Astyanax mexicanus: one gene and its partners. The protein of the gene in region 1 purifies or fractionates together with the protein of each later gene. This does not show direct contact. Links are inferred from orthologs where the notes say so. Each region holds a gene or a part of one and is shown in the gene's direction. Other genes may lie near its edges.

The links.
Region 2: the proteins of polr2g (region 1) and scaf1 purify together in Homo sapiens (affinity purification with mass spectrometry; 3 studies listed by BioGRID and IntAct, counting the BioPlex papers as one, with this or other methods). This does not show direct contact. The link is inferred for Astyanax mexicanus from reciprocal best matches to the Homo sapiens genes POLR2G and SCAF1.
Region 3: the proteins of polr2g (region 1) and ctdp1 purify together in Homo sapiens (affinity purification with mass spectrometry; 4 studies listed by BioGRID and IntAct, counting the BioPlex papers as one, with this or other methods). This does not show direct contact. The link is inferred for Astyanax mexicanus from reciprocal best matches to the Homo sapiens genes POLR2G and CTDP1.
Region 4: the proteins of polr2g (region 1) and gpn1 purify together in Homo sapiens (affinity purification with mass spectrometry; 4 studies listed by BioGRID and IntAct, counting the BioPlex papers as one, with this or other methods). This does not show direct contact. The link is inferred for Astyanax mexicanus from reciprocal best matches to the Homo sapiens genes POLR2G and GPN1.

Annotation. Positions count from the first base shown.
Region 1 is NC_064417.1:39,776,980-39,784,741, forward strand, and holds polr2g (DNA-directed RNA polymerase II subunit RPB7), read left to right. Parts: upstream 1-4,404; 5' UTR 4,405-4,541; coding exon 4,542-4,553; intron 4,554-5,581; coding exon 5,582-5,691; intron 5,692-5,791; coding exon 5,792-5,951; intron 5,952-6,099; coding exon 6,100-6,150; intron 6,151-6,356; coding exon 6,357-6,422; intron 6,423-6,515; coding exon 6,516-6,587; intron 6,588-6,730; coding exon 6,731-6,764; intron 6,765-6,964; coding exon 6,965-6,978; 3' UTR 6,979-7,426; downstream 7,427-7,762. UniProt on the Homo sapiens protein: Core component of RNA polymerase II (Pol II), a DNA-dependent RNA polymerase which synthesizes mRNA precursors and many functional non-coding RNAs using the four ribonucleoside triphosphates as substrates.
Region 2 is NC_064426.1:20,093,358-20,101,488, reverse strand, and holds the start of scaf1 (splicing factor, arginine/serine-rich 19), read left to right. Parts: upstream 1-5,036; 5' UTR 5,037-5,218; intron 5,219-5,326; exon of another isoform or gene 5,327-5,437; intron 5,438-6,849; 5' UTR 6,850-6,972; intron 6,973-7,127; 5' UTR 7,128-7,166; coding exon 7,167-7,204; intron 7,205-8,131. Other genes in the region: insulin, read left to right, coding at 3,068-3,245, 3,888-4,039.
Region 3 is NC_064410.1:21,965,072-21,972,777, reverse strand, and holds the start of ctdp1 (RNA polymerase II subunit A C-terminal domain phosphatase), read left to right. Parts: upstream 1-4,429; 5' UTR 4,430-4,600; coding exon 4,601-4,893; intron 4,894-7,206; coding exon 7,207-7,290; intron 7,291-7,448; coding exon 7,449-7,542; intron 7,543-7,706. Other genes in the region: sdha (succinate dehydrogenase [ubiquinone] flavoprotein subunit, mitochondrial), read right to left, coding at 2,415-2,474. UniProt on the Homo sapiens protein: Processively dephosphorylates 'Ser-2' and 'Ser-5' of the heptad repeats YSPTSPS in the C-terminal domain of the largest RNA polymerase II subunit. This promotes the activity of RNA polymerase II.
Region 4 is NC_064421.1:730,065-738,306, forward strand, and holds the start of gpn1 (GPN-loop GTPase 1), read left to right. Parts: upstream 1-5,059; 5' UTR 5,060-5,093; coding exon 5,094-5,270; intron 5,271-6,520; coding exon 6,521-6,614; intron 6,615-7,615; coding exon 7,616-7,655; intron 7,656-8,242. UniProt on the Homo sapiens protein: Small GTPase required for proper nuclear import of RNA polymerase II (RNAPII). May act at an RNAP assembly step prior to nuclear import.

The DNA of each region.
Region 1 (7,762 bases):
TACGCTCACTTCCACCGCAGTAGAATGGTGTAGCAATGGTGGAATGGATTGGAGTGCTGTAAAGGCTTTCCATGGTCCTTTTTATTTTATCCACATCCTGATGTTCAATTGAATGTTTATGATATCTCAAAGCAGTGTTATATTTGACTGGGATGGAAATTTTGTGTTGGTGGTGGAAAGTATCTGTAGCTAATTAGGAACTCAGAGAGATAAGTGAATGTGAAGAATATGTATATTAATAAAATATAAATCTTTGCAAACAAGGTTCTGTCTTAAACCAAACAAATATTGTTAATGGTATCACTCAACTAACAATTCGAAGAACTTTGAGGGTGCTGTAACACTGACCTTGTTTGTTACAAAGTTTCAAACATTTCCGTTTGGCTCAAAACAATCTAGCCGGTGTAAAAGCTGTGACTCACCATGATCCGTACTGTAGTAATAAGAGTTGTTCAGATCAAATGAGGTAATCATGATTCAGACAACATGAACCATAGTCCACTTGCTAGTTTATCGTCACCCACTAAACAATAGAAGCAGAAAAAGACTTGGCGATGTGCTGAAATTCCACTGGGTGCAAACACTTTCACAGTGTGAAACTAAAAATGAACCGAACCGAATATATACAGTGTAACTCCAGTTCAGACTTTCAGATGCAAAAACACCTGAAAGTGCACAATAAAATACCCTTGTTACTGTTTTTTAGGCTGGACCTAGGGGGGTGTTGCCCCAATAATCAGTATTAGCATCAGTCTAATACTGACCAAAATCCTTAGTTCCATTACAGTAGGAAAAATATATAATCTTATATGGTCCATTTTCTTCAACTATCACAGAAGTATAAAAAACCCTAGACCCCAAGTCTACACGTGTAAAGCCTACATGCCAGTATTACAGGCTTCAGAAAGAAGTAGAATATATAATTCCAAGTTTGAACATGATGCTGTTTAGATGGCTATGTTAATAATAGCCCATTTAGTCAACTGTATTGTAAGTGTATAGCTGAGTTTAAGAGAGGAATTGAATTAAAAAAGATCATTTAAGTCAAAGAATTCCATTTAGGTAGTTGTTTATTTTGTTTACAGAATTTGAAATGCCACCTTTCTTTTATATTGTGTTGAATTTCATGAACAATGGATTTTATTAACAATGAATTTCACAAACAACAGTTGTGGTTAACATTAAATGTCATAATTTTTGTTATTTTAGTACTGCCTTATTTTTTTGTTGGGAATCATTAAAGTTTAATTGGACTGGATTAAAATTAGAGCACAACAATCAGACATTTTCACTGTTATTGAAAAACATTGAATCTCCAAAATGCATCTTTTCTAAAGAAGGAGAAAACCTTTTTAACTTTCAATAGAATTGTAATGTGAAAGATTCATTCATTCTGGGTCATTGTAAAACATTTATATTATTCCATTCATCAGGACATTTTAATACAATGTAAAGAACAACTTCCAGATTCACATTATGTCAAAAAGTAGATATAGAATTTGTATTTTGCAGGAAAGCAACAATAACTGCATCATTAAAAGCTTTGAATTAAAAGGTTTTTATCTGAGTTTTGTATTATGTTAAATGCAGGGTGGTGTCTGCAGTACACAAGGGCCATGAACTTGTGGCTGTGGAGACATCTGCATGCATTCTCTCGCTCAGCCTGTTCTGATATCAAGGTTAATGATATGAGTGCCAGCAGCTCCAGGAGAATGCGGCTGCGGAGAGAACGAGGATGTCCCCAAGGACCTTCGTCAGTTTGGACAACTCTTTTTGATGCAAACACCATGCGCCGTGCTTGGATATGTGTGGACATCTGCCCAGGCTAATCAGCATGCATGGCCTCAGTTTGGGGGTATCTGACCTGCCCGAGCAACAATGGCCAGGCAGTCTGATCTATGGCACACCGCTGCTTCTGCCTTTATACCCTCGTCAAAGAAGAGCTTTTAAAAATCGGCCTTTAAAGCTACAGAAACTGCTACAGAATCGAGATGAGCCGTTTCAGAGGGGCTGCAGAAATTAAACATGCTTCCTCCTTCTTTTCCTTCTTTCTTGGCCTCTTTCGTGCTCTGCCACATGCAATTTCTCTTTGTCATTGCCTTTCTGCACCTCCCAGTATAGATAGAGCAGTGTCTGGGGTAAAGGGCAGAGCAAGGCTGCTGAGAAGCTCTGCTTAAACACTCTTTCAGAAGAGTCTGCTGCTCTGAAATACATATGAACTTGTGGACTAAAGAAAGGCCTGGAAAATCATGAATAGCCGAAAAAAGTGTTCATATGTGTATCAATAACAAGCCAGATAAATATGGAAACCTCAGTAAAGTTGTAGAACTAGGTTGAACTAAGTTGTAGAACTAGGTAGAACTAGGCTGAATGATATATTTTTCCAGGAAGAATTGTGATAAACAATATTATTGTCATTTTAATCATGTTATGCCACTGATATTGGTTAATTATAAATAAATAAATAAACATAGCATAAGAATGCAGCTACACTCTATTATGGACCAACATTTTTTTTGATAGTTAAAAAATATTATTAAAATTATTGATTTTATATTGAATGAAAAATAAAAAAAATATTATCTTACACATAATGGGCATTACTGAGGTCAGCAAAAATATTGGGGTTACATTCAAATATTCTTAATAAAACAGTGATTGTGACTGGCCTATACAGTACTACAACTGATATGCATGTGTTTGCACATTTCATATTTTTACAATAGTTACTGCTGTATGTATTCAATTGTTTAATTCCACTTTATAATTTTACATATAGTATAAAGGGATGATCTTCTTCATCAAATTACTGTGTTACAGTGTTTCCATAACTCAACATGTTTATAGTATTTTATATATTAAACCTACCTCAACCATAGTATCTTATTATACATCTAAATAAAATAGTGAACTATAAAGGAAAGATCATATAAAAAAAAACAATTAGATGGTTAGATCATAATTGAATAATGAAATGTTTTATTCCTATGTGTGGAAAATCAATAAAATGATGTATATGGTCTAAATAAAGAAAAAATACATTTATAAAACCTCAATGCTTACATGTTTATCATGTACTGGCCCTTTAAATGAAACTCGTGTCGATCTCCACCGCCCCCTACTGGTCTAACACTGCAATAAGGGCTCAAATATTAGCAGAATAAAAAATGTACGCATAAAATAATACAAAAAATAGTGATAATAGTAATAAAAAGATTGTAATAGTATTTTTGTTTTTTTAATTTTAATTCTAATTTTTCCCATTTTTCTCCCCAATTTACACTGCCAATTACCCAACCCACTCATTAGGACTCCCCCTATCACTAGTAATGCCACAACACTCCAGGAGGGTGAAGACTAACACATGCTTCCTCCGATACATGTGAAGCCAGCCACCGCTTCTTTTCGAGCTGCTGCTGATGCAGTATTGCCGAGCAGCCAGCGCGCTTGGAGGAAAGCACAGCTGCTCGGCTCCGGTACATCAGCTCACAGACGCCCTGTGCAGCACACATTACCCTAGGAGTGATGTGGGGAGAGAGCGCCATCTACCCACCCAGAGGGAGCAGGGCCAATTGTGCTCCCTCTGACGCCGGCAGCTTGATGGGTAATAGTATTTTACATTGTAATTTAAACGAATAGCAAATGAAATTAAAAGTCGACGCTGTACTTAAGTTGTAATAAATAAATAATAATAAAAAACATAAACACAAATAAACTTTAAAAAAGAATAATGTAAAACCCAAACGTTAGATCTCAAACGTAAACTATGACTTTTCCCTTTTTTGCTCTATTTAATGAATCAATGTATTGAATTATACTGACCTCTGGTGGATATTTTATGGTAGTAATGTCGAAGGTTTTTCTTGATGTTTTGACCTAATCAATTCTTTAAAATGTGCTGACCTCTTGTGGACATTTTATGTAAAAATAAATAATAGCATTTTTTTAAAGTCAAATTTAGACAACTGGATGTGTTGCATATTTAATAAAAAAAAATCAACGAGATGGATTTAATGGATAACAGCGAAAACATTGATTACGAGAAACATTCATTGATTGGAGTATACAATATACAGTGGTAAAAAGAGCATGGGCTTTGCGCATTAAAAACACTTTATAATGCTTCTTTTTTCGTAAATTAAATAAATATCTAGAGCAATTAGTTAAACAGTATTTTAAAGAGTCTCCCTCTAGCGGTGCGCAATCATTTTCAGGTATAATGGGGAAAGTAACCTATGTAGGATGTGGGCAGGCTATTTTATAGATAAATGAACAAATGAAGTATACAATTTGTGTATTATATCATCCATGATTTAGTGTCCATTTACCTTTTTTTCACATAACCTATAATATAAATACTGTTTAGAGTTTATAAATAGCTGTTTACTCTGAGCACAGACTCTTATTTTGAAATCGGGGTACCCGGATGTGAGGCAGATGTTAGCTTTGTTCGGCGGCGCTAACGCTTTAAGCGCAGGACGTGTTCCAGTCATTCAGCGCGGTTTATTAATAATACAAGACTAAATACATCCAGATCAGAGATGTTTTACCATGTAAGTTACTGATGGGTTTATTAGGACTTTGATATAGAATTCAAATAAACCGCTAGACCATGAATTAGATTAATAGCTGTTGGACAGTGTTTATGAGTGTGTGCTGCATGAATGTAGTTGGCTAGCTAAAGCTAGGCAGTAGGGTAGCCAGGTAGTAGCTAGCTAAGTAAGTTAAAGTGTTCTGTTGTGTTTTTTTTTTTGACATCCAGTTAAGGGGAAGACTGTGTATAAGAATACTTAATTTACTGTACATTTGTGTGGCCATTTCCACCTTACTAGCTAGCGTTACCTATGTAAATTATCATTTACATACCTTGCTAAATAGCTTAGCAAGTCACTTATGATCTGGTAGTTTTAAGAATTCAACAAGTTAGCCACAGAGTAGTAAAGGCCACTTTAATAGTAAAGGGCAAATTACCTAGTCTTTTTAATGGCTGAGAATTACCTGAGTGTGTAAGATGGTATTCAGCTTTGGTAGCTAGCTAGAATATTGTTTTATGTGCAAAATAATACCCACCCTACAGGTAGCTACATAATGATCAGTTTCTCTCTTTTAACTATTTATAGGTATATGCTTACGTACAGTTAACATGTGTTTTTTTTTTATTCTGTAAACTAGTGACAACACTACTTCCGAATTCCAAATAAAATCGTCATTTAGAGCATTTATTTGCAGAAAATGAGAAATGGTCAAGATACAAAAGTGCTTTTAGAACTCAAATAATGCAAAGTAAACAAGTACATGTTCATTTTGAAACAACAATACTAATGTTTTAACTTGGGACGATTTCAGAAATCAATATTTGGCCGAATAATCTTGATTTTCATCACAGCTTTCACACATCTTGACAATATTTTCATTTGAAAATTGGGAAAAATTTTGTAAGTAGTTTAAAGCAACTGTTAATTTTACTCAAACATACCTATAGCCTAAATAGTAAAATCAGAGAATCATGACTGATAATTTTGAAGTGGTTTCTTCATTTCTGACCATATCTGTATATATTATATATTTTATTTTATTGTAGATTTCTCTGGAACATGAAATCCTTCTTCATCCTCGATACTTCGGTCCAAACCTCTTGAACACAGTCAAACAGAAGCTCTTCACAGAGGTGGAAGGCACATGTACAGGAAAGTAAGTCCCACTGCAGAGCTTTGCACCACATTTAATATAATATTTAAAATGTCTACGCTATTAAGCTGACATTCTTCGGTTTGTTTCTTGTTTCTCTAAGGTATGGGTTTGTCATCGCAGTGACCACAATTGATAACATAGGGGCAGGTGTTATACAGCCAGGACGAGGGTTTGTGCTGTACCCTGTCAAATACAAGGCCATCGTATTCCGGCCCTTCAAAGGGGAAGTGGTGGATGCTGTTGTCACTCAGGTTAACAAGGTACGGATTCAGCATGTCTCCCAGTCATGATTTTTTTTCTCACTAAGTGTTTACACTTGTGTGAGTTTGTTTTCTTTTCATTTTGTGCTATATTGTATAGTTTCGTAAGTGTTTTAATTGTTTAGAATTATTTGCCTTCTCTTTACAGGTTGGATTGTTTACAGAAATCGGGCCAATGTCTTGTTTTATTTCACGCCATGTAAGTTGATCCATATTACCATCAATATAATTTGTCACACAGACATTATACTCAGTATAAAGACTAGATGTTGTTTATTTAGATAGTTATATAGATACTTTTTTTAGTAAAGTATATCTGCATCTAATTTTGAAAGCGGTGTGGATTTCATTGCTGAGTACAGCTTACATAAAAAGCTAACACACTTTTGATCCTTTGTTGTTTAGTCTATACCCTCAGAAATGGAATTTGACCCAAACTCTAATCCCCCCTGCTACAAGACAGTGGATGAGGTAAGGTGATAGGTGATTTTTTGTTTGTTTTAATACACTGTAATCAATGATTTTGTTACAACAGTTGAATTATTTATGTCTTTGCCTCCTTAGGATATTGTTATCCAACAAGATGATGAAATCCGATTGAAGATTGTGGGTACTCGAGTGGACAAGAACGATATTGTAAGTGTATGGTTACGTGTGGATTGTTGTGTAACATATGCATTTCATGGCACACCATAGTTGTATTAAAACACAGCAAAAACTCTGCTTTCTTATGATGTGTCCAATTATCATATTTTTACTGTATTACCATTTTTTCCTAGTTTGCCATTGGCTCCCTCATGGATGATTACCTGGGTAAGTGTTCTGTAACTACACCAGAGGGGCTTATACAGAACAACTATAAGTTCTTTCTGTTTAAATTATAATACAATAAAAATAGAAGAAACTGTAGTGATACTATTACGTTGCATTATTTGAAGACAGAACATCATCTACTAAAAAATAACAAATTGTTTTGTTTTTGTTTCTGAAACGTTTTGTTGTTTTCTTTACAGGTCTTGTGAGCTGAATGATCTCTGAAATAATCCAGAGGACTTTTACATTCTCGGACATTTTTTTGTACATAGTTCAATATACAGTGTAGAATCTAGAATACAAATGTTCCTGTGATTTATTTTTTCCCCACAGTAGTCTATGCTAAATTGTACTTTTTTGTTTATTAATTTGCTCATGAGAGTTATAAGAGTATTCCTTCCCTGTGTATTTGCTTTGGCCATATTTTACACAATTGGTATCTCCAATGTTACACAGAAATGAATGTTCAATTTATGTGCGTTTTTTAATCATTGGTAGTGTCTATATAATGTCACACAAAAAAAAAATCTGATCAAACCAGATTAAGAACTTTGTGTCCCAGCCAAAGACATTAAACCAGTTTGATCCAGCCAGCTTTACTCAGAATTACCAGGGAAAACTGTATATATTTTTTTTTTATAAAAAGAAAATCTCAAGAAAAAGTAATGTGTTTGGTATTTTTTTGTGTATTTCACTGTGTGTGTGTGTGTGTGTCCTCTTCCTCTTTCATACTTAAGTGCCAATGTGGCCAATCATGAATCTGCATCAACAGAAACATTGTGTACACACATGGCAGTAGCAAAGCTGTAACAACCAGGCTAAAGCAAATGTGGGAAAGAGAACAATTATGTATTGAGTTGATTTATGTGGTTTTAAGGGATTTGCAGCCATCAGCTATTGGCATTTTTTATGATAAGGCAGAAGGAGGTGGGGGTCATGTGGAGCAGTGCATAAATATATTGGGATTGAATCATATACTGTATAATATTGTAAAACAT
Region 2 (8,131 bases), on another chromosome or scaffold:
CAGAACATTTTTAAATTAAGAAAAAAAAAACACTGGATTTAAGATTAGTATATATTACATATAATTAATGTAATTAATGTAAAATCCGTTACATAGCCAGAAACTGTCAGAGTATCTTAGTTCATATTATACATTGTTATTGCTTAATAAGAATTAGTGTATTGTCTGTTTGTATTGCTTTCCATGACGTTACTGAACAATAATCCGTAAGCTCAGGATTTCAGGTTGCATGCACTGCATGTACAGCATTTTTACAATGTAAAAAAAAACAAGATTTACATTATTTCAATTGTAGTTCAAAACTGAAGAAGATAAAAGTTTTTTGCATAAGAGATAATATATAAATATACTCATTTTAATGTCACATTTTGATGTTATGTAAATATAACATATGTAATTTTGCAAATCTGTAAGGGGTCAAAAAAACCCGTTACACAGGATGTTATAAACATGTAATAAAGCAAATAAAGTGTTTATTTGTTCTTACCTTGTAGGAAACTTGATGCACTGGATTCTGAACAGTCCAGCTGATGTGTGTGTATGAAGGTGTGATGTCTGTGTATATGTGTGTATTCTGTGTGTGCTCCTCCTCAGCCTTTTCTAATCTGTCCTAAGACTGAGCTCTTAGTTTTCCTAATCTAATCTCCACCCGTCTCACCGTTTCATAACCTCGCATGTGTGTGTGGTCATTCTGGACGGACCATTAGAGTGACCATCCTTTTCTGTAATTACCACTGCAGTGGATAGGACTCTATACAGTGCAGGACAGTATAGAGATAAATATAGATCTTACAATTATACTATACAGTGGTGAGAAAAAGTGTTTGCCGCCTTCATAATTTCTTATATTTTTTCATGTTTGTCACTCTTAAATGTTTTTCATTATTAAACAGATTGAAATATTGCTCTAAGACAACACATGTAAACAAAAAATGCTATTTTTAAATGAAGGTTTTTATTAATAAGGGAGGAAAATAATCCAAACCTACATGGCCCTGTGTGGAAAAAGTGTTAAAACTTAACTTAACAATGGGTTTTCACACACGAGTTCAATTTCTCTAGCCACACCCAGAACTGATTACTGTCACACCTGTTCTCAATCAAAAAATCACTTAAACAGGAGCTGCCTGACAAAGCAAAGTAGACCAAAAGATGCTCAAAAGCAAGATATCATGCCAATATACAAATAAATTCAGAGGAAAACAAAGGATAAAGAAAAGTAATTAAAATCTATCAGACTGGAAAAGGTTATAAAGCTATTTCTTTAGCTCTAAAATTTTGGGACTCCAGTGAACTACAGTGAGAGCCATTATCCATTATCCAAATGGCGAAAACATTGGGGAAACAGTGATGACCTTTCCAGGAGTGACTCGTCGAACAAAATTACCCCAAGAGCACAGCGCTGACTCATCCAAGAGGTCACAAAAGACCACACAACAACATTCAAAGAACTGCAAGCCTCAGTTGCCTCAGTTAATGTCAATGTTCAAGACAAAAAAACAATGCTGCGCAAATAGACCATTAAAGCTTGTCTCAATTTTACCAGAATAGAGAAGTCACCGTGTCTAATGCAGGGCATCGACAAGAGGAGTGTAGAGCCCCTTAGCACTGAGCTGTGGATCAGTCAAACTGTGTTCTCTAAAATGCTGAGATGAAGAGTTGGGAATGAGGTGGAGGTGGTGCTGAACATCCTGAAACAGAAAGAAGACCACAAGGTCCTTAAGAAACCTTTTTAGGGTTCTTTCATTCTATGAAACTGTGGAGGAACCCATTAAGGTGCCTTGAGAAACTCTTAAAAATGCATAAGGTGATGTAAGGAACATTTTCTTATAACAAACCTTTTTAAAAGCTACCCCAAAGCACATCACAGGGCTCCATAAAATAAAAAGTGAAATAAGAAAATAAATAAGGAAAGTAAGAGGTCAACAGACAGAGTGGAAGAGAGAAATAAATGACAGAAAGACACAGATGACCTATTGTCCGGTGTCCTTTCACAGTGAGAGTGAAGTGAGGGATGAAGGGAGGATGAAAGCGAGCCAGTGGTTGGGACTGGGGGGGCTCAGTCAGGTTTAATGAGGGTAATTAGAGAGAGAGCAATGGATGCTCAGATCAGGGTAATCATTCGAACAGACTGCAGGTGATTAATTGGAGGCAGTTCAGATAGAGCGCAGTGATGGACTCTCATTATGGGGGCACATATCAGTGGATAGAATGCATTAGGGACAGAGAGAGAGAGAGCGAGAGAGAGAGAGAAAGAGAGATGTTGTGGACATAGCATCCTCAGGTTTTTCTGCAAACTGACACTCATTCTGGCTGAACTCACCTGGAACAGAGACAACACAGGTAAGTTTAACTTTTTTTTACTGCATTTATCATATTAAAAACTGTATTTATATATTTAAAGTATGCATTCTTTAACTTTACAGGCCTGGGATTAAGCCTGCTTGACAACTATGCTATTTCTTCCATTAATTACATTTTTGCTCCTGGACCAGGAACAAAAACCCAATTTTCCAAACTGTCATTTTCCAATTTATAGCAATACATACAATTAAAAATTATACACAAAAACAGAATTGTATGATTTTTTAACACATGCTTGTTGATAAAAACTGAGTGAAAGATTTAAATAATATCATAATAATAATCTGACAAATAACTAAAATACCGTTTGTTGTATCTGTGACATTTTATACCAAATAATTACAGAGGAAGTTGGAGAGACAGTCAATAATATGGAAGCTAGGAGTCAATTTGTACATATTCTGTGTATAAATTGTGCCTAACATTTACACCAAGCAATAGTAATAGTGAGGAATTAAAAAACTGATTCAGTGATGATTAAGTGTAAAGATTTTTCTCCTTACATTTTGTAAATAATATATAATAAGTTCACCAACGTAAAACTGAGATACAGCACGATGGCCAAGGTCATACAGCAGTTTTTGAGGAAGGATTCCAGGATGCAGTGTAATGCACCTCTAGAATGAGCCGTAAAGCGATATACTAATAAATACTGTGGCATTAGTTGGAGTGTGTGTGTGTGTGTGTGTGTTCCTGTTGGAGGATGCCGAGCCCCTCTCTGCTGCTGCTGGTGTTCTGCGCCACCTCTCTGCTGCCCCCCTGTGGCGGGTTCGGGACCCGCAGGCTGTGTGGTATTCAGCTGGTGGAGGCCCTGCTGTTCGTGTGTGGAGAGAAAGGCGTCTTCTATCAGCCCGGGAGGCGCATCAGACAGGAGAACCTTCGTAAGCGTTTATATGTGTGTGCGTGCGTGCGCGTGAGATTTGTATGGAGTTAATTTTGTGCCAAAATTAAAATTGCAAAGGAAGCAAACGAGAGCTTCCAGAAGCAGAAGGCTTTAGCAGCAAAATCAAAAAAATTAATACAAAAAAAAAAAAAAAGAAAGCAAAATCCAAACGCAAATAATTTCGAGTAAATGCAAAGGATAATAATAAAGTAACCAATAATATTTAAAAATATATATGAATGACATCCTTTTGATTCTTACAATTTTTATTGCAGATTTTTTGTTTTTGTTTTAAAGCTTTCGGCACAAAATTGTGTTAATTTTAATGGTATTGGTCTCTAATATCGCCTGCACAGATCTCCACATCTAGGATGGGGCCTACAGGCTATGTTTAAAAATAATTAGACATTCGTATCAGTTATGTGGTAACAAAGCACACTGCTGAGTGTAACCTACAGTAAAATTGACTGTAATGTGGCTAAAAACAATCAACTGTAATGCCATCCCTGGAAGAGTACAGACTCTTAATGCAGAAAAAGATAATAAACAAACTCCCTATTAATGGGCAATTAATTTGAATGGGTAAATTCCTTTTATACTGTCGTAGACTGAAAGAAAGATTCTGCCTGTCTCTCCCCAGGTGTGATGATGAAGGATGGTGTTCTCTTCCCACTGGAGATCAGTGAGGTTCTGCAGAAATCTGGATCCAGAATGAAGAAAAGGGGTATCGTAGAGCAGTGCTGCCATTTTTACTGTGACTACTATGACCTGGAGAACTACTGCAACACCTAGAGTCACCAGTATTTGTGCAAACGCAGCCTGAACGGACAATGATGCAAGATGCTTGGATCACTGACCAGTAGTTCAAGTACACAAATGAATGTTATTCATAAACTGCTCAATGTCACTGAACAGCAGAAACCAAAATGTAACAAATAACACAATAAAATCATTCTGATAATTTAAGGGTCATCACTTATTTGTTTCTGTATATTTTTTTAACATGATTTTTAGCTAATAAAGAACAAGGAGGTAAAAGAAAACCAAAGGCCTGTGCAGGCGACATAAATGTTTAGAAGGCAATAAAACCTTTTAGTATCTGGGTTAATATTTTTATTAAATAATGTGCCTTTTGTTTTACACAGTATAGTTGTTTAAATTTCAGACAGGCACTGTGTAACTATACATGTTTCAGTTTTACTAAATGAAAACATAAGTGAAAAAAAGTTAATAAAATTCACTTTAAAGTTCTTTTTGAACATTTTATATATTTTTCTTTGATGTGATCCACAGTGCTGCCTGAATATGTTGAACATTAAATTCTTAAATACCAAAATAAGTGTATTATTATTATTATTATTATTTTTTATTATTATTATTTATTACTGGTATATTCTGTTGTACACAGTTTTAGGTGAATTAGCTGCTAAGATAAACAGTTCTGTGTGTGTGATATACAACAAAATATGTATTTATTTAACATTGTATAACATACAATTTTTTAATCATTTAACTGTTTTTGAAAGCTGATTTTTTTACAATATACTAATATAAAAATATACGCATACACACGTTTTTTTAAATTATGAAATGTTTAATAAAAAATAATAAGTAAAACACTGCATTTTGCAAAAATCCCAATTTTTGGGGGTGCTGTAAAACTTTTTCCCGGTAGTGTATATTTATATATAAATATACATAAGTAACTAAAAATAAATACGTAAATCAAAACTACATCAAAAAAAAAACGTCAGAAAACTACATTTCCCAACAGCCCGCACCGGCTGGTTTCACAGTGAAGGAAATAAAATGGCGGACTAGGATGGGATGGGCCTCTTATTGTGTTCTTAATAGAAAAAAATGTTTCAGGCTTTTATATCGCCTTTAAGAGGCCGCTGAGGATCCTTTAAGGAGCTTTAGGAGATCAGGAATTTGGATTTTACTTTACCGGCCCGTTTCTGATCCCAGAAGGTGAGTAATTTGTTGTGTCGGGGGTAGACTGGATGTTGCTAGCCCAGCTAGGCTCGCTGCTAACCGAGTATATAACTGGAGGCGAGCGGTGGAGCGGCTACAGGCGCTGCAGCTCCGCTGGGTAAAGCGGGGGAGCAGTGCGGTACTCTAATTATTAGGCGAGGCGGGTTTGTGTTGGCTGTCTGGACACAGCGTCCTGTTTGCTGTAGAAATATTCAGGTATAGTTGTTTTTTTAGTGGTGGTTTAACGTAGGTTATAATAACACGGTTTGGTAGCTAGCTTAGCTTAGCACGGTTAGCCAGCGGGTTCGCAGCAGTAGCGGAGGATATTCCGCTTGTTAGCCGGGGTTAGCTACAGTCTGGACAGCTGGCCTGTACTTGTATCCTCCTTTAACAACAAGCTAGTTAGGTTAGCTTTCTAACTGCTGTGCTTGAGGTTTAGACTTGTGGAGTAGCTAGAAAGTAGTTAGAACCAGGGGTAACCCAGGTCCAGAAAGTAAAAATCCATCCCAGCTGAGTCGCCCAGGCAGCAAAGTCAGCTAAGGTTTGTGTTGTTACCCCTACTCAAGCTCCAGTAGTGCCTTAAATAGGTAACTTAAGTAGTTCCATTAGTAAATGTTAAGAGGAACTGTTTATGGTAGACACCAAAAAGAACACAAAATATAATTTCCAGTGGAGAATTCCAGCTGACCTTATTTACCTTAGATTAAGCTAGCTGTTGTTCCCTGACCTAACACTCAACTTGGGAAAGGGGTCTCTTTAAGCCCTGAAAATAAAAACATACATCTCTGAGAAAAATGAGACTACTTAACATGATGAGTTTCTTTTATTTTACTAAATTGAAAACCTCTGGAATAACACAAGTCATCAAACCAAGCTGAACTGCTTGAATTTCTGCACCAGGAGTGGCAAAAAGCAGCTCATAAGACTGGTGGAGGAGAGAAATGCATTGAATCTGAGATTAAAAACATCAAATATTAATTTCTGAACTCTTAAAACTTTATGGATATTAACTCGTTTTCTTTGCAATATTTGAGATCTGAAAGCTCTGCATCGTTCTTGTTATTTCAGCCATTTCTCATTTTCTGCAAATAAGTGCTTTTACATGACAATATTTTTATTTGGAATTTGGAAGAAATGTCGTCCGTAGTTATTAAATAAAACAACAATGTTCGTTTTACTCAAACATATATCTATAAATAGCTAAATCAAGAGAAACTAATTCAGAAATTGAAGTGGTCTCTTATTATTTTTTTTTTTCAAGAGCTGTATTTATCTTGCTTCACATCTCAATCTTCTGTGGCAGAATCCTAAGATTTAACCTACACCTACGTGATTTCTCTCACTTTTCCTAAACTTGTCTCTGGTGAGGGATATGGACTTTTATTCCGCTGTCTTTAGATGGGCACAGAGAAAGAGTTTGATTAAAGTAAATCAGGCCTCCTCCAAACTAAGTATAGTTAGTAGTTTATTTCACAGCTAAGGGGCCTTAACATCTGGGACAGAGACAGAATAGATAGATACAAAATGTGTGTTTCTGTGTGTGTGGTTTGTCAAGGAAGTCAAGTCACTCCATAGTTATGGCCGGTGAGATTCATGCAGGTTCCTTTGTTTACTCTCTCGCATCACAGCTTAAAGAACATTCAGATGAAGTGGAAGAAGAAGAGGAGGAGTCTGAAGAAGCCAGAAGGACGACTGGCCTAAGGTGTTGCCAAGGAAACAGAGCGACCACAGATGATGAGCCGAGAGAACTGGTAAATGTAAAATGGCCAAGAAATCAATCTGTCAAAGGATGGGTGATCTCTGTTCCTCCTCCTGCTTAATGTGGACCATCTGCCTGTAGTTTAGTGAGGATTGGAGATAGCCCTGAATTGACCCCATGGCATTGTTTGTGTGTTGTGTTGCGCAGGAGGCTTCTGCTGCTACTTCCTGTGACACTACATTCCTTATGCCTCAGCAGTGCACGGAATTTCATTTTACCGACAGGTAGGTTTCAGCAGCATGAGAAAAGTTGTGTGGTTAAAGGAGAACTCTGTTGTGAAATTAACTTTGGGTGTAGTAAAACATGATAGAAAACTAACCTTTGTTGAATTGCCCACCTCTTTCTCATGCAGCTTTCATAAATTCAGCAATTTTAGTCCAGTTGTCCAAACACCCTTTAGGCTAGGGGGTATGGGGCATATTCTTGCCCCTGCAGATACATCGCTTTTTACACCGTTATCCAGAGCACATAATGTTGCAGGCACATCTTCATCTTCTCATCTGTTATGCTTCTGTCAACATTACGTGCTTGTGACCCTACTGATCATGACTCCCTTAAGATGGCAGAGCCCAGAGATGTAGGTTATGCTACAGGTTGTAAACAGGGTTTTTTAATAAACTTCTCATGCACTTTTTAAGTTCTTAATACCTCGTTTTAAATATCAGGGCTTTCTGGATTCTACCAATAAGGTGTGGAACTATTTGAGCCTGGATAACGGTGAAAAAACGCAATGTATCTGCAGGGGCAAGAATATGCCTCGTATCACCCAGTCTTAATGGTGTTCGGACAAATAAAATAAAATTGCTGGATTTCAGAAAGCTGTGGGCTATTCAACAAAGATTAGTACTCTTTATCATGTCTTACTACACCCAAAGTCAATTTTACACCAGAGTTCTCCTTTATGATATGGTCAATCTGCAGCATTTACATTTACATTTCCATGTGGCTTGTTCATCCTGTATGCTGGTGTATAAACTAGGGGTGTGCCATATCGTATCTTCTGCAATAATATCGCCAAAATCTTTTTCATGTTGTTAACAATACTATACCCTAAAATATTGTGCCATATCACCCAACCTTAAATATCACATCAGGGTCAGACATTATCATATCTGTTCTTAGCAAAAACAATTCACACTGTTCTCATTTCA
Region 3 (7,706 bases), on another chromosome or scaffold:
TGGTTTCAGTGGATACTGTTGTGAGGGGGTCAGATACTTGCTTGTAGTCCAGTAAATGTTAGGAACTTCAGTGTTCCAGCTTTGGTTTGGGTAAAGATTCTGTATTCAGTGTTGTTAAATGAAAGGTGAATGATATGCAAGTATTTTTTAAAGCAGTCGTGTAAGTGTGTTTTTAATTGTTTTAAATAATTTTGCCAATGCAGAAAAAAGCTAAATTAAATAGTGCAGAACTGCATTTTTTAAGATTCTGTATGTATATTTCGAATACTTTTGATTGATCAGTGTTAAACTACTTATAAAAATAACAGGACAGACCAGTTATTCACTAAATTCAGGTGTTTCATTTACACCCATCGCCACAGGTGTATAAAATCAAGCATTTAGCCTTTCAGTCAGCTTTTGCAAAAATCATGAAAAAATTGGTGATTCTACAAAGTCCACTCAAAGTCAAAATCTCCCAATTTCACCATCAACTGAGAGTAAAATAATAATATAGAGGACTTTTTTTTTTTTTTTTTTTTAGAAAAACACAGCACACCGGTCACAAACCGAAAAAAAAAAAAAAAAAACTACATAAAGTTACAGAGTGATGCCAGGTGCAGAGAGTCACAGTGCATAAATTAGAGCTGCTCAATAAGGGCTGTTTTCCAAACCTGTGCACAGGGAGCTTCATGGCTGTTTTCTTGGCTGAGCAAGCCCTATGTCATTGAAATTAAGCCGAGTATTATATATTTATATAGTAATACTATATTTTCCTTTCAATGGAAAATCTTCATCCAAATTGCAGTGATGAAAACAGCTCCACAGTGTCAGATGGAGTAAAAAACAAGTTTTGTGTAGTGATAAATTAAGATTTTTTTTATCTGGCAGGCTATGGATGAATCTGGGGTTGACTGTGCTGTTCCAACTGTTCCAATGTTTGGTGGAAGAATGGAGAGCTATGGGGTTGTTTTTAGGAATTCAAGTAAGGACTGGGAGGTTAATAAAATTAACCTGATTAATCAAATTACTGTTTGCACTGTGTATAATATAAAAGCTACATTTACTGTTGAAGGGGGCTGCTTACTATTTATAATAATAATAATAATAATAATAATAATAATAATAATAATATATATATATATATATATGTGTGTGTGTGTGTGTATGTGTGTGCGTGTGTGTGTGTATATATATATATATATAGATAGATAGATAGATAGATAGATAGATAGATAGATAGATAGGTAGATAGATAGGTAGATAGATAGGTAGATAGATAAACTTAATGCTTCAGCATTTTAAGATATTTTGGACAACTATTTGCTTTCATCTTTGTGGAAAAAGTTGGGAAAGGTCCTTTTCTGTTCCGGCATGACTGTACCCCTGTGCACACATATTTAGTGGCTGGTCATTTGTTTTTGTTTCTTCCTTTGCATAGTATTGTACAAACATTATGTCTTTATGGGACAGTTTAGCTTGTGCTACATGACACAGTGGTAAATGTATACCCTTAAAAGTGTAACATATGATTAACCATCACTATAAAATGTTACATGTTAATTGTGCAACACATACTAGTTTCTAGTATATTTCAACCCACTCTATCAAACATAAATTAACAATTTGTTCAATGTGTAATTATAATTGTGTTTTAATAATTTTTATTTAGCAACACTTTAAAAGTGGATTTTAGCTGTAGGCATTTGCTTAAGGACTGTTGCAGCACCATGACAAAAGACAATGGAAGTTGACTGCAGGTGGGATTTTATTAAAAGTCTGGTTATTACGAACATAAAGGACAATTTCCGAGTTCTTATCTCTAAAATATATTAAAGCATGAGCACATGAAGGGCGATGGGAATAAGAAACACAAACAACAGCAGCTAACAAGCAACAATAATATCAGAACACAAAGGTTTTCCACTGAGAAGAGTTATACAATAATAACCACCATCATTATAATCATCATCATTAGCACCACCCCCATTAGAATTTAAAAAATAAGCCAGGTTCATGTAGTTAGGTTATTTTCTTTCATTGACCTTCAGTGTCAGAGGTTTACAGATGTAGAGCCCACAGCCAGCTACATTAACTACAATATACAACAACATGTGGTTAACAATAATAAAAGCATATCAAAATAGCTAACTATAGCTGGTATATATGTGTGGAAAAACTGAAGGAAATTTAACTGTTTTCCTGAGATATGACCGATATCCGAACTTTCATAACAGTGTACAGCACGGTTACTTAACGCTAGCTAGTTACGTTACCTAACGCTAGCAGGCTAGGCTAAGCTAGGCTAGCTAGTTTAGCTAGGCTAGTTAGCGGGGTTTGAGAGGCAGTAACAGGGTATATAAACAGCGGTACGCGCTGCTGTATGATAATGCTGTGTAAGAGCATTAAACTCCGAGGCTTTAAGAATTACTTACTGTTTTATACGACAGCACCCTCTTCCCGAGGACACGGTAGGCAGCTAGCGCCGCGGCCATGTTGCTAATGTGTTAATGACAGGTCTGAGTGCTGCCCTTCCTCTGCTGCTGGAGTTACTGCGGGAGTGTCAACCGACTGAAGAGCTGAACCGCCACCCACTGTACTGGAGCCAGAGCTCAGCCTGACGCAGTTTTAAATCATACAACAGCAGCGCTGTCTCTGAACTGCGACACGACTGACTTTCACCACTATTTAACTGTAAAATATTATAAGTTTATTAAACGGTCGACACACTTACTCAGTGTTTACTGTAACACATCGGAAAAACAGAGCACACCAACAGCAGCAGAGAGAGGAAAGCCTTTCTTATTTTATGTAGGTTATTTAATGCGTTGTTTCTTAGATTCTCTGGAGTAGCCTTGACATCCTTAACCTCAAGTCCACTGACTGCTCATTTTTCTTGAAGAAGAGTGATACATTATGTTATGAAAAGAAAGATAGTATGTCTTACGACAGTTCTTATATTTTCTTTTTCTAAATGAGAAGTTAAATAAAAAAAATGCTGTATATAGTATAAATACACAGGGCACAGTGTGTATAATAATTTTGAGTGTATAATAAAGTTGAGAGTTTAATATAAAACATTATTACATTATTTTTAATTGTGACTGGGGATATATTTTTTTTTTGTTTATCTATACATAGTAGATAAACTGAGCATTTTAAAACGTGTGTATTTGATTGGCTGCCCTGCTGTGTAAACATTAGCATTATTGGTTCATTATTAGCATTACATACTTACTATATATATCATTCAGATTTTTTTAAATCATCTGAGGTTTAGTTTTAGTTAAGGGTTTTTCTGTGTTCAGAATCGTACAAATATATTCTCAGTAACAAAATAAAAGAACTGATATATAAAATCTTGCATATATGCTACCCAGTTAATGTTATTTTGTTTGTTTTTCTTTTTTTCAATTGAACACTTTTTATTTTTGGATTGTTCTTTTTTTAGACTTGAAAGAAGCTCATCTTCCACCTCCCATCCTCACCATGCTCTATAGTGGGGCTGTAGGAAGCATCCTGAGCACCTGCATTACCGTCTGGTTTTTGGAACTGCAACATCTCGAATTGCAAGACCCCACAGCAGAAAGTGAGGACAGCTGAGAAGATATTCAGAGTCTCTCTCCCCTCCATCACCAACATCTACACCACACAGTGCAACTGCAAAGCCACCAGCATTGCGGACGACCCCACCCATCCCTCACACGGACTCTTCGCTCTGATGCCTTCCAGCAGAAGATACAGGAACATCCGAGCCTCCAATATTAGACTCTGCAACAGCTTCTTTCATCAGACCATCAGACCCCTCAACACACAGATACAGAGCTGACCCCCCCCCCCATCACCACACAACTGAACTGAACCCTCCCCTTAGCACACAGAGACTGAGATGTCTCTATCCCTATCAGCAATATTTGCTTCATTCTATAGAAGTATAACTCTCTACCTCAGTAACTGCTGTGAACATGTTTGTTTTATATGTTAAAGTATGTTAAATATCCCTACACCTTTTTATCACTATACACATTTCATTGTACCGTAACTGCACTGTCCTGTCTGTTCAATTGTTCAATCACTTTTGCACTTTATGTTTGCATTGTTGTCCAATGTTGAACTGTGTTGGTTCCAGAGGACACTGGTCACTGTGTAATCAGATGTAATGATAATAAAAGACTCTTGACTATATATTGGATATTTTGATAACCCTTTATTTTACCACAAGGACGGCTTTATAGTAGATTTTATAATAATTGTAGGTAATTTTTTATATGCACAAAACGAAATTCGCAAAACAGATACCCTTATTCCATATAACATTTGTTTATTCTGTGTTTTGGATTGTCTGTTGTGAAAAGAAATTCACTCTCCAGTTCAGAGGAGGCAGTGCTGCACCTTAAACTGGTTAACGGCAGAATGAGGCAGTAGAAGAAGAAACCGGAAACTGAATCTGGTCAACTTTCGCTGTGTTTCCTGTTTACGGGCGGGAAGGGAGAACAGACCTGAATCTGTGTTCTGGCTGCATAGTCTGGTTTAGTCTGTATATTCACAGGTTTAGCCTGATTTCTGCGGTTTAAAGCAGCCTGTGTATCGGGGGGAGATCGGTGCAGGGCGCTAGAGAAGCATGGAGGAGCCCGCGGACTCTGGTGGAGGCAGTGGAGCGCTGCTGAGTGAGATCCGCTGGCCCGCGGGAGAGCGCTGCATGCGGCTGCTGGAGTGGAAGGTGAAGCCCGGAGCTCTGGTTAATGTGGACTCTGTTATCGCAGTATGTGGAGCTTCAGCCGCGGACAAGAAGTCCGGAGCGCAGGAGCGGGACCGGCCGAACAAACCGACCGTCCCCGAGAAGAAGCTGAAGTCGGACCGAGCCGGAGTTGTGAGAGAACTTTGCTGTCAGCTCGGGCAGGACCTATCCGCCGGGTAAGCTGCTGATTAAAGAGCAGAGAGGCGCTGTAACACATTAACATCACTACATTCACCCAGATCAGATCAGTTCATCACCACAGTCAGAGTCACTTATAGTTACAGCAGGTTACTGTCTGCATGTGGTAATTTGGGCACATGAGCTGCTAACAGCAACTTGAGCTTAAGAAGAGCTTTTCAAAATAAAAGTCCTGAGGGCACCTGTTACACAAGGGGCTAATATTTGCCAACAGTTTAAGAAGATTAAATAAAAATAAAACTTATACAGCATGAAGGTACAAACATTGCTAACTTCTGCCTTGCTCCAAAACACATTGTTTTCATAATTAGGTAAACAATTTTACCCGGCGCATGAAAATGAACTAACTAAGTTACAGCACTAACACTAAAAAAGTAGGATTGAGGCTATGATGGTAATGCAGTGGATACAGCGATAGGTAAAATAATGGTATTTCCAAATAATGACAGTATTTCAAAACTGATATGTATGTTGACAAATTTCTGCTACAGGTAATTTTGTTTACTTTATTTTATCTACAGTATTTAGCCTGCACTACACTGTTACTTTACAAAACATTAAAATAATTACCCTTATTGTTACCCTTATTGTGTTCTCTATTTATATGTGATCCACTAAGTTCCAGCCTTCAGTATGAATATACTAATACAGTTCAGTGAAAACAATTGTATATGTATATGATTTATATAAGACATTTGTTTTTATTTCATCTTTTGGTTTCACATATGTCCATAATTAGTCACAGTTTTAAACCCTGTCTTTTAAAGTAACAGGTTAAATAATTAATTTACGTATAATATACATATAGAGACCACTTAAAAATAAGTTTCTTGGATTTCACCAAGCTGAAAATAACCAAGCTGATCTGCTTGAATTTATGAATGCCATGAAGTTATCCAAAAGCAGTGTGTAAGACTGGTGGAGGAGAACATGCCAAGATGCATAAAAACTGTAATGAAAAACCAAGGTTATTCAACCAAAGTATTGATGTATTTTACACAACATCCATATGTTAAAACCAACCACATATGCAAAATCTCTAAACTACTTTGCATTTTATTATCTGGTTGTGATTCAGTCCAAAGAAGTACAACGAATGTTGCATGATCCATATGTGTTTAAATAGTTTGAGTTTTAGAGGGATGACATTCAACAGATATCAAAGTAAAAACACAACCAATGTTCTTTATCCTGTGCCGAACACTCTTGTCACTTTGGATGCAATTCCTTTAGCTTTTCAAATGTTGCTGCAGTACTGTGTTTGGGTTTGTGTGTGGTTAAGGATGTTTATTAGATCTGCAGTGTACCGATATTTACTTCACTGTACTGAGCTGAATTGTGTACCGTGTAGAGGGGTATCTGGTTTGTGGTGTTAATAGTCTTTAATTCACTTCTTTTGTAAGACACAATAGTTTTATCCATTTAACAAATATTGCAGTTTAAGTCAGATATGGTTAAGAAAACACCACACCTAGCTAAAATTACTAATGGGGCAGACACACAGCGTTCAGTGCTGTCTTAATTAGTCTCTGCAGCCTTGCATAAGCTCTGCAGTTTCATCTAGTGGTTATACAAGGTAATTGAGGAGCCCGCACAATGAGTCCCACAGAGATATGCTGTAATCTATTCTCTTGTTTATGGGACTGTGCATATCAAAGCATGACAAATACACACACACACACACACACACACCTCTACAAGTCAAGTTTGTTTTGCAAGTGGACACCCATGTACTGGGGGACCCTATCACATCTATATCCACTTAGCTTTGGTTGTGGACACACAGTGACTGTTATAAATTCTGTTGTGACCAATGAAATAGCTTATTTATAGTTGTTTGGATTTTTGATTGTTGACGCAAGAAGTAGATACACAGCACTGTCTCTGTGTCTGTGTGAGTGACGGGCCTCTGCTGCCTGAAAAGCACGAGGGGGTAAATGCACTCTGGACTCTGTGACGTCATGGGCCCTGCATTTTTTTAATATTGCGATATATATTGTAAAAAAAATAAAATAATAACATTTGCAATGTAACAGTTTTCCAATATCGTGCAGCCCTAATCTACAGCTTTTTTTCTGAGTTTCTTTAAAGAGCTCAATGGTTCTTCATACATAGCGAATTGAATTAATTGATTCGATTGAATTGAATTGAATTTTTACATTTTAAAAATAACCAAAGATATGTTCTATTTTACTCATAATTTGTAATCAAGTGATTTACAGTTTTGCACACACAACTTATGCTAGATTTTATTTTGGGCTGATTTTTTCATGTGCTACTGTTTGTTTTAGGGATGTTGTCGTGAGAATAGAAGAATGCAATCATCCTATTGTTATGAAGGGTCTGTGTGCTGAATGTGGCCAGGACTTAACACAGTGAGTAAATACACACTTTCTATAAATCTCTAAAATTAAATTCTTTATGCCAAGCAGGACTTTCTATTAATTGACATTGACGTTGCAGTTCTTTGAAACACATAGCCATTAATGCCTCCATTACTTAAAAAGCACTTTTCCTGTGAATGTGTTTTAAGGCTGCAGAATAAGAATGGAAAGCAGCAGGCTCCCATCTCTACAGCGACAGTTTCTATGGTGCACAGTGTTCCTGAATTGATGGTCAGCTCTGAGGTAAGTGCTATTGGGGAGTAAAAGCTAATCTTTAATGAGCTTCTGATCTTGTGCTTTAGAAACAGTTGCAGAAGTAGGTAAAAGTTTGAGCACCACTGCGATGCAGTAAATAGTTAATAAGAAGGTGAAGTGGTCTTACAAAATGTTAGATGTTAGAGAGTATG
Region 4 (8,242 bases), on another chromosome or scaffold:
GTGTGTGTCTGTGTGTTTGTGGTATAGTATGTGTGTGTGTGTGTGTGTGTGTGTGTGTTATACTATGTATGTGTGTGTGTGTGTTACAGTTTGTTTTGTATGTTACAGTGTGTGTATGTTACAGTGTGTGTGTGTGTGTGTGTGTGTGTGTATTACAGTGTGTGTCTGTGTGTTTGTAGTATAGTATTTGTGTATGTGTGTATGTGTGTGTGTGTGTATGTTACAGTGTGTGTGTGTGTATGTGTGTGTGTGTGTATGTTACAGTGTGTGTGTGTGTGTGTGTGTGTGTATGTTACAGTGTGTGTGTGTGTGTGTGTGTGTGTGTGTGTGTTATACTATGTATGTGTATGTGTATGTTACAGTGTGTGTGTGTGTGTGTGTGTGTGTTATACTATGTATGTGTGTGTGTATGTTACAGTGTGTGTGTGTGTGTGTGTGTGTGTGTGTGTGTATTACAGTGTGTGTCTGTGTGTTTGTGGTATAGTATGTGTGTGTGTGTGTGTGTGTGTGTGTGTGTGTGTGTGTATGTTACAGTGTGTGTCTGTGTGTTTGTGGTATAGTATGTGTGTGTGTGTGTGTGTGTGTGTGTGTGTGTGTTATACTATGTATGTGTGTGTGTATGTTACAGTGTGTGTGTGTGTGTGTGTGTGTGTGTATGTTACAGTGTGTGTGTGTGTGTGTGTATGTGTGTGTGTATGTTACAGTGTGTGTGTGTGTGTGTGTGTGTGTGGAGGGGTTAAAGAGGTCGTATATTGCGTCAGTGTGTCTCCTGTGTATCCAGTATGTATAAGATGTATCACATGTTCAGAGAGATGATGACCCTGCTCTTCACTACAAAGAGATTATTGATCTGAGTGTTTCATTTAATGATTTTATAGTAAATTAGATTCACAAGGTAAAATGATGTGATAAAGTGTGGCCACATGATCATACAGAACACAGTGCAGCTCTGTTTCTCCTCCAACACCTCTTTATATCTTCACTATTAACCCTTTAAACACCAGCACTGAGCACCACTGCACATATTAAATAATTCAGAGTGGATACAGAATTATATTTAGTTTGTGACTAAATCATTGATAGTAGACACTGAATATTTAATTCTAGATCCTGAACTATTCCTAGTGGATGATAAATAATAACTCACAGTACATACTGAATAATTTACAGTGGGTGCTGAACAATTCATAGTGGATGCTGGGTAATTTACAGTACATATTAAACTGTGGTTACTGAATAGTTCATAGTATGTAGTAGATAGTTCAGAGTGGATACTGAGTTATTGCTTTTGGATACTGACTAATTTATAGTGAGTACTGAGTAATTCAAAGTTTATACTGACTAATTAATAGTGGGCACTAATAATTCATAGTGTATACTGAGTCATTTAAAGTGGATACTGAGTAATTCATAGTAGATACTGAGTAATTCATAGTGGGTACTGAGTAATTCATAGTAGATACTGAGTAATTCATAGTTTGTACTGGCTAATTTGTAGTGGATACTGAGTGATTCATAATGGATACTGAGACTTCATAGTGCCCACTGAATAGTTAATGGTCGATACAAAGTAATTCATAGTGGGTACTGAGTAATTCATAGTGGGTACTGAGTAATTCATACTAGATACTGAGTAATTCATAGTTTGTACTGGCTAATTTGTAGTGGATACTGAGTGATTCATAATGGATACTGAGACTTTATAGTGCCCACTGAATAGTTAATGGTGGATACAAAGTAATTCATAGTGGGTACTGAGTAATTCATAGTGGGTACTGAGTAATTCATACTAGATACGGAGTAATTCATAGTTTGTACTGGCTAATTTGTTGTGGATACTGAGTGATTCATAATGGATACTGAGACTTCATAGTGCCCACTGAATAGTTAATGGTGGATACAAAGTAATTCATAGTGGGTACTGAGTAATTCCAAGTGGATTATGAGTAATTCATAGTAAGTATTGAGTAATTAATAGTGGTTACTGAGCAATTCATAGTGGATACTGAATAAATCCTAATAGGTAATGAGTATAATGTGTATAGTAGATGGTAAATAGTGCACAGTGGTGAATAAATAATTATACAGTGAATAAACATGAATATAATAATGTAAAGTAACTGATCTCTGAGTAAAGAATAAAGAACAGCTAACACACACTGTAGTCCTGTAACTGTACAGCAGGGAGGGAGGGGTTTCTGATAAAGTGGCCGGGGAGTGTACAGCAGATAACAGGGGTTATGTGAAATCTGTTTTTCCACTCCGGGCTCATCCTTTTCCTTCCCTATCTGCAGTATCTGTATGAGGGACAGTGACCCCGGTGCAGAACGTCCTCCCTGTAAAACACTCATCATCCTGGAGAACGTTCTGCAGACGCTGCGCTTCTATAAACAGAAACACATAAAAAACATGCAGGAGATATTAAAACCCCACACTGCTGGAAATGAGTTCAGCTTTCTCTCTAAAGTTAAATTAAATCAGTTTTAAACGGGATGTGATTTTTGTTTTTTATTTAGCTACGAAGCTAATGCAGCTAACAAGTCAATAACAACCAATTAGCATAGTGCTAACTTCTGTCTAAATCATTTGATACTTTCCCAAGAAAGTCTATAGACTTAATTATGTGTTTTCCAATGCTGTATTTTCACTGGCCACTTTATTAGAAACAAGCCAATAACAACCAATTAGCATGTTGCTGACCCTCTCCCCAAAAATACTCAATGGGCTCTTTGTTAGCAATGTTTATGCAAGCAGTCAAGTGTGTCTTTGCTATCGTAACAACGGGAAAAGTACACCTTGGGCGTAACGTGAAATAAATAAACCAATCAGAGTGTTATCTGTTTGCTCATCATTCTCTTTAAGAGTAGAGTCAGGTGAGCTCTGTCTTTGGTGGATTGCTATTGTAACGGTGCAGCTACCTGGACGTGTTCAACAAACTCTTCTCAGCAGAGGAAACTGAGCTGCTGGTTGACGCTGTGAAGGAGCTCCAGCAGCTCATTTACGGGAACAGCAATGTTATTTTATTTACTATTCTGTTTATTGTTGATGTAAAAGTTGGGTTTGTGCTGCTGTGTGTTCATGTGTGTGTAATAAGTGGGGGCGTACGCTCGGCTCGGCACAGTGCCTGTGTTACCGAGATAGCGATGAACGTCTGACTGTTGGCGTCTGTCTAGGTTGTATTCAGTCAGTGGAGCTCCTGTGTTTTCTGTTACCAAGATAAACAAGATAAAACTCCAGAAATGTACCTGAACACACCTCATTTCCAGAACACCACGCCCATCAGTGTAGATATATTCAGAAGCTCTGCTGATATTCAAATGAAAATAGACTGTTGGTGGGGGGTAAGATAGCAATTAGCATCAAAACAAGCCTTGCACACCTAAAAAACTCTAAAGGACGGCTGCTTTAATGACTGTATATTAGTGTTCAGTAGATGTTGGCGAGGTTTGGTTCTGGGAACCAAAGCTCTGGGAGCTCCTGTACGGAAGCAGCTGGACCTGCTGAGGAAACATCATCACTCAGAGCTGATTTACCAGAATTATGTGGACTATTCTAAACACTGGAATTACCCCGGCTTTCCCTCTCGCCTCACTTCCTCTCAGAGGCTTTTACACAGACCCATCTACTGCTGTTACACATTCAGAGTTCTTATTTATTAATATGACGAAGCTGAGAATCAGAAAGAATGTATAAAATAACATCTTAAAATAACGTCAGTTACCTGCAAATATTCTAAAATTAGAACTAAAAAACTAGAGTGCATGAATTCCATAGCAAAACTTATGCAGAGGTATAAAAATACATGCAGGTAAAAGTGTCTGTATATGCTATTGTGTCATTGTTTTAATGTGATCTATATCAGACAGTGCTTTTAACAGTTTACGCTCCTAAACTGATATTCATGCTGTATAAAGAGCAGCAGAGCTTCACATAAAGTTTCGGTTTCATCGTCTCCAGCTTCACAGCAGCTATCAAGCAGTTCCAGTATCCGCAGCTGGACTCATCACTGAAAATGAGTTCCTGCTTATTGTAAAAATAACACGTTATTCAGCCACACCGTTTTTAACTTTGTTTTTATTTTTTCTATTCACTTTTGATGCAGCAGCGCCTGCCTGTGGTCACATTTAATCATTTTATTACAAATACTGATTTTTGTCTGATTTTTAGTTTATTAGTTAAGCCTTTCCGTAAATACATTTTCCCACCTCAGGTACAGTCTGATCATAATTTGTCTGTAAATATTTTGTCGAGAACTTTTTCCAATTCTTTTCCTATATATTTTATCCAAATAATGCATTAAAAGTAAGATTTTATTTAAAGGCTTTTATTTTGTTTAAATTGTATATACATTGTATATATATATATATATATACATATATAAAGTATCTCCTCTTGTTTAGATGATGAGTTTTGAACATTTCTGCTGGATTTTCTCAGTCAGTTTTATGAGGTAGAGTCTCCTGGAATTCAGTCTTTTAGTTAACAGCTGTGCTGAACTCATCAAGAGTTAATTACTTGAATTTCTTGTCTCTTAATAAAGTGTTTGAGAGCATCAGTTAAAGTAAAGTAGTGAAGAGGTAGAGTTACAGGTATACAGTGAATAGTGAATATTTGAGTAATGTTCGAATCCAGATTATGAGAAGAAACAACTACTCAACTACGTAAAGAAAAAAAACTTTAAGAAATTGGAAATGAAGTTCAGTCAATTAAAAAAAGAAGAATTTCAAGAACTTTGAAAGTATCCTCAAGTGCAGATACCACAAAAAAGACCATCAAAACGTTATTAATGATGAAACTGGCTCTCATCAGGAAAACAAGGAAGAGCGAGAGTTTCCTCTGATGTACAGGATAAGTTTATCAAAGTTACCAGCCCCAGAAACCACAAGTTAAAAGAGTTTTAGGTTTGTTTAACACTGTTTTTAAGTTACTAAATGAATTATTTATGTATTTCTTTATAATCTGATTGATCACTTTACTATTTATTTACTATGGCGGGTTTATAAAGTGTGGTTTTGTCTCCATCTAGCGGACAGTAGCGGTACTGAGCGGAAAGCTGTAGTCACGTGGTCCGCGGCGCTGCGGTAGTGTACAGCATGGCGGCTGCCGGTGGTTCTATTACCGGGGACGGAGCTCCGGGAGAAAACCCGCAGGATAGACCCGCCGCGGGGGAGCAGGAGGCCGGGGCGGGCGGGGAGAGCGGCCCGCGGGAGAAGCCCGTCTGTCTCATCGTTCTGGGAATGGCTGGATCCGGGAAAACCACGTTTGTACAGGTACAGATACACGAGGGCTATCTCCTCCGGTCCACCTTAAATGTTCCATAGTTCCATTCTGGCGCCTGAAGGTGTTTTTCTATTGCTACTGCTCTATTTAAGGTGGAACGGACAATTCGAAAAGAATCCAAGTTTAGCTTTAAAAATAATCAAAAATAGAAAATATAGATCAGTTTTAGCTTCTCTAAACTTTACACAGAGTGCTGTACATTTACTTCAGCTTAATTATTACACACACATTAATCATTAAATACATGTTCAGAACTATGTAAACACCCGAATGTTATCTGTTTTTATATTAATGTGTTTTAATATTATTATTATCTTCTTTATTTACTTTATTTAACATTTAAACACTGGATCAAAATATGTGAAATCACATATCACACAAGTTTTTTACTTTATTAAGTTCTAATTTAAAGTATAAAATAGTCATTGCAGACTTTTCCAGATTTAAATAAAACTATAAATATAGATATTTTATAAACAGAGGTTTTGGATAGGTATTGGTTTTATATTGGAGTTTAGTTCAAGGCCTGTTAAAACAATAAAAAAATATATATTGTCTTATTATAAATATTATGAACTTTTTATTTTAATATTTTATTTACAGAATAGAGGTGGCGCTTAAATATTGTCACGTTATTTCAGTTTTTTTTATCATAATAATATTCTTGGTGATTTGACAAAACTTTGATTTAAAAAATAATAATAATTGCAATAATAAGTGCAACAAAATAAATACAAATATTTTTAGTTCATATAAATATTACCGTTTTTTTTTCATTTAGTAGAAATAAAATAAATCTGTAAACTTTTGTTTATTTTGGAAACAGTACATTTACCAAGAAAATTGTAGAAAATTATAATAGTGTAACAAAAAAAAAAATCTGATTGAGAAAAGCACATTCATGTGAATTGCCAGAAAGTCTTAAAAACTTACAAAACTGTGATTTCATTTTATTTATGACTTTTTTATGAGGGGCTTATATAAAAAAAAATGTTTAATGTCAGTCTGAATGTCTGAATACTCATCAGAATTAAAATAGCATTATATTAGTGGCATAAAATGGATGTAAAATGACAATAATATTGTTTATCGCAATTATTTATGTATATATTTATTAATATATTGTCCACACAGCAATAATTATTTTGACAGGCCTATGCATGGTATAATATATAATATAATAATAATAATAATAATAATAATATTAATAATTTCTTTATCTTCTGTTTTTATTTTACAGCGTCTCACTGCTTTTCTCCACTCTAAGAATTCTCCTCCGTACGTTATTAACCTCGACCCTGCCGTCCACGAAGTCCCGTTTCCAGCCAACATCGGTAAAAGTAAAATTTTTATCCAATCAGAACAGTTGGATCTAATGAAAGAATATAACACTGCTATCTAGTGGGCGGAGCTTATACGCAAAACTTATTGAACCACTTCTGACACCAATCTTTACATCTAAGCTAATACTAAACTAATCAATACTATTGTTTTTGAAAATTGATACAGTATTACAAAACAAAATGTTGCAATACATTAGTATACAGCCCTGTAAAAAAAGAGAGCCCTTTAAAAATGATGAGTTTCTTTGATTTTACCAAATTGAAAACCTCTGGAATATAATCAAGAGGAAGATGGATGATCACAAACCATCAAACCACCAAACTGAACTGCTTGAATTTTTGCACCAGGAGTAAAGCAGCATAAAGTTATCCAAAAGCAGTGTGTAAGACTGGTGGAGGAGAACATGATGCCAAGATGCATGAAACAAACTGTGATTAAAAACCAACCAGGATTATTCCACCAAATATTGATTATTTCTGAACTCTTAAAACTTTGTGAATATGAACTTGTTTTCTTTGCATTATTTGAGGTCTGAAAGTTCTGCATCTTTTTTGTTATTTCAGTCATTTCTCATTTTCTGTAAATAAATGCTCTAAATGAGAATATTTTTATTTGTAATTTGGGAGAAATGTTGTCTGTAGTTTATAGAATAAAACAACAATGTTCATTTTACTCAAACATAAACCTATAAATAGCAAAATCAGATAAACTCATTCAGAAACTGAAGTGGAATCTTCATTTTTTACAGAGCTGTATAATATCACCCCTTCTAAGTGCTTTAGTACTCTAGTGCTTTGTACGAGCAGTAAGTTTACATTTAGTGTAAAAACTTCAGATCCCATAAAGCTCGGTTCCAGATTCCTCCTGGAAGCTCCGCCCCCAGTCAGTGTTCAGTTTCATCAGCATCTCCAGTCTGTTTTAAATGTTTTAAGTGTTAAATTTAAATATAAAGAGATTTAATAATTAATACTGTTTTGTGTTTTATCTGCAGATATCAGAGACACGGTCAACTATAAAGAAGTGATGAAACAGTATCCTTTACTGCTCTCATACCGACTCACTGTGACGTGACTGATGAGCTCTTATGTTATATGTAGATGTGTTATATTTGCAAATAGATTAATACTTAAAACTAATTTACTCGTTATTTTGTTTAAGTTGTTTCGGAAGATTTTAGAGACGAGACGTTTTAAAATTAAGACATTTTTACACTAATAACAGTCTTTGCAATGTCATATGTTACTTTACAACATGTGTAATAATGCCCTGCTTAGTGCAGTTCAGACACTGACCTAGTCTTAGAGTCTCTGTAAAACACCAAATCCACCGGAGATCCTATTTAAACCTATAGTTACTCACAGAGGTGGATAGTCCAGCTCCAGAGAGTAAAAATCCAACTGCTTTAAACATCTAAACACCTACCTATCTCTATTTTACTTGGCTGGTGGTGTTTTTCCTCCATAGACTAATTCTAACCATTTGTTTCTTAGCTCTGAATTACTGGGTAAAGTCTATAATGTGAAAAATAATGTGTCTATAATAAAACATTTTACTCCTTTTGTCCTGTAGTGAGAAAATTCCTATGTTTGAATGGCAATTATGTCAATAATTAGTCAAC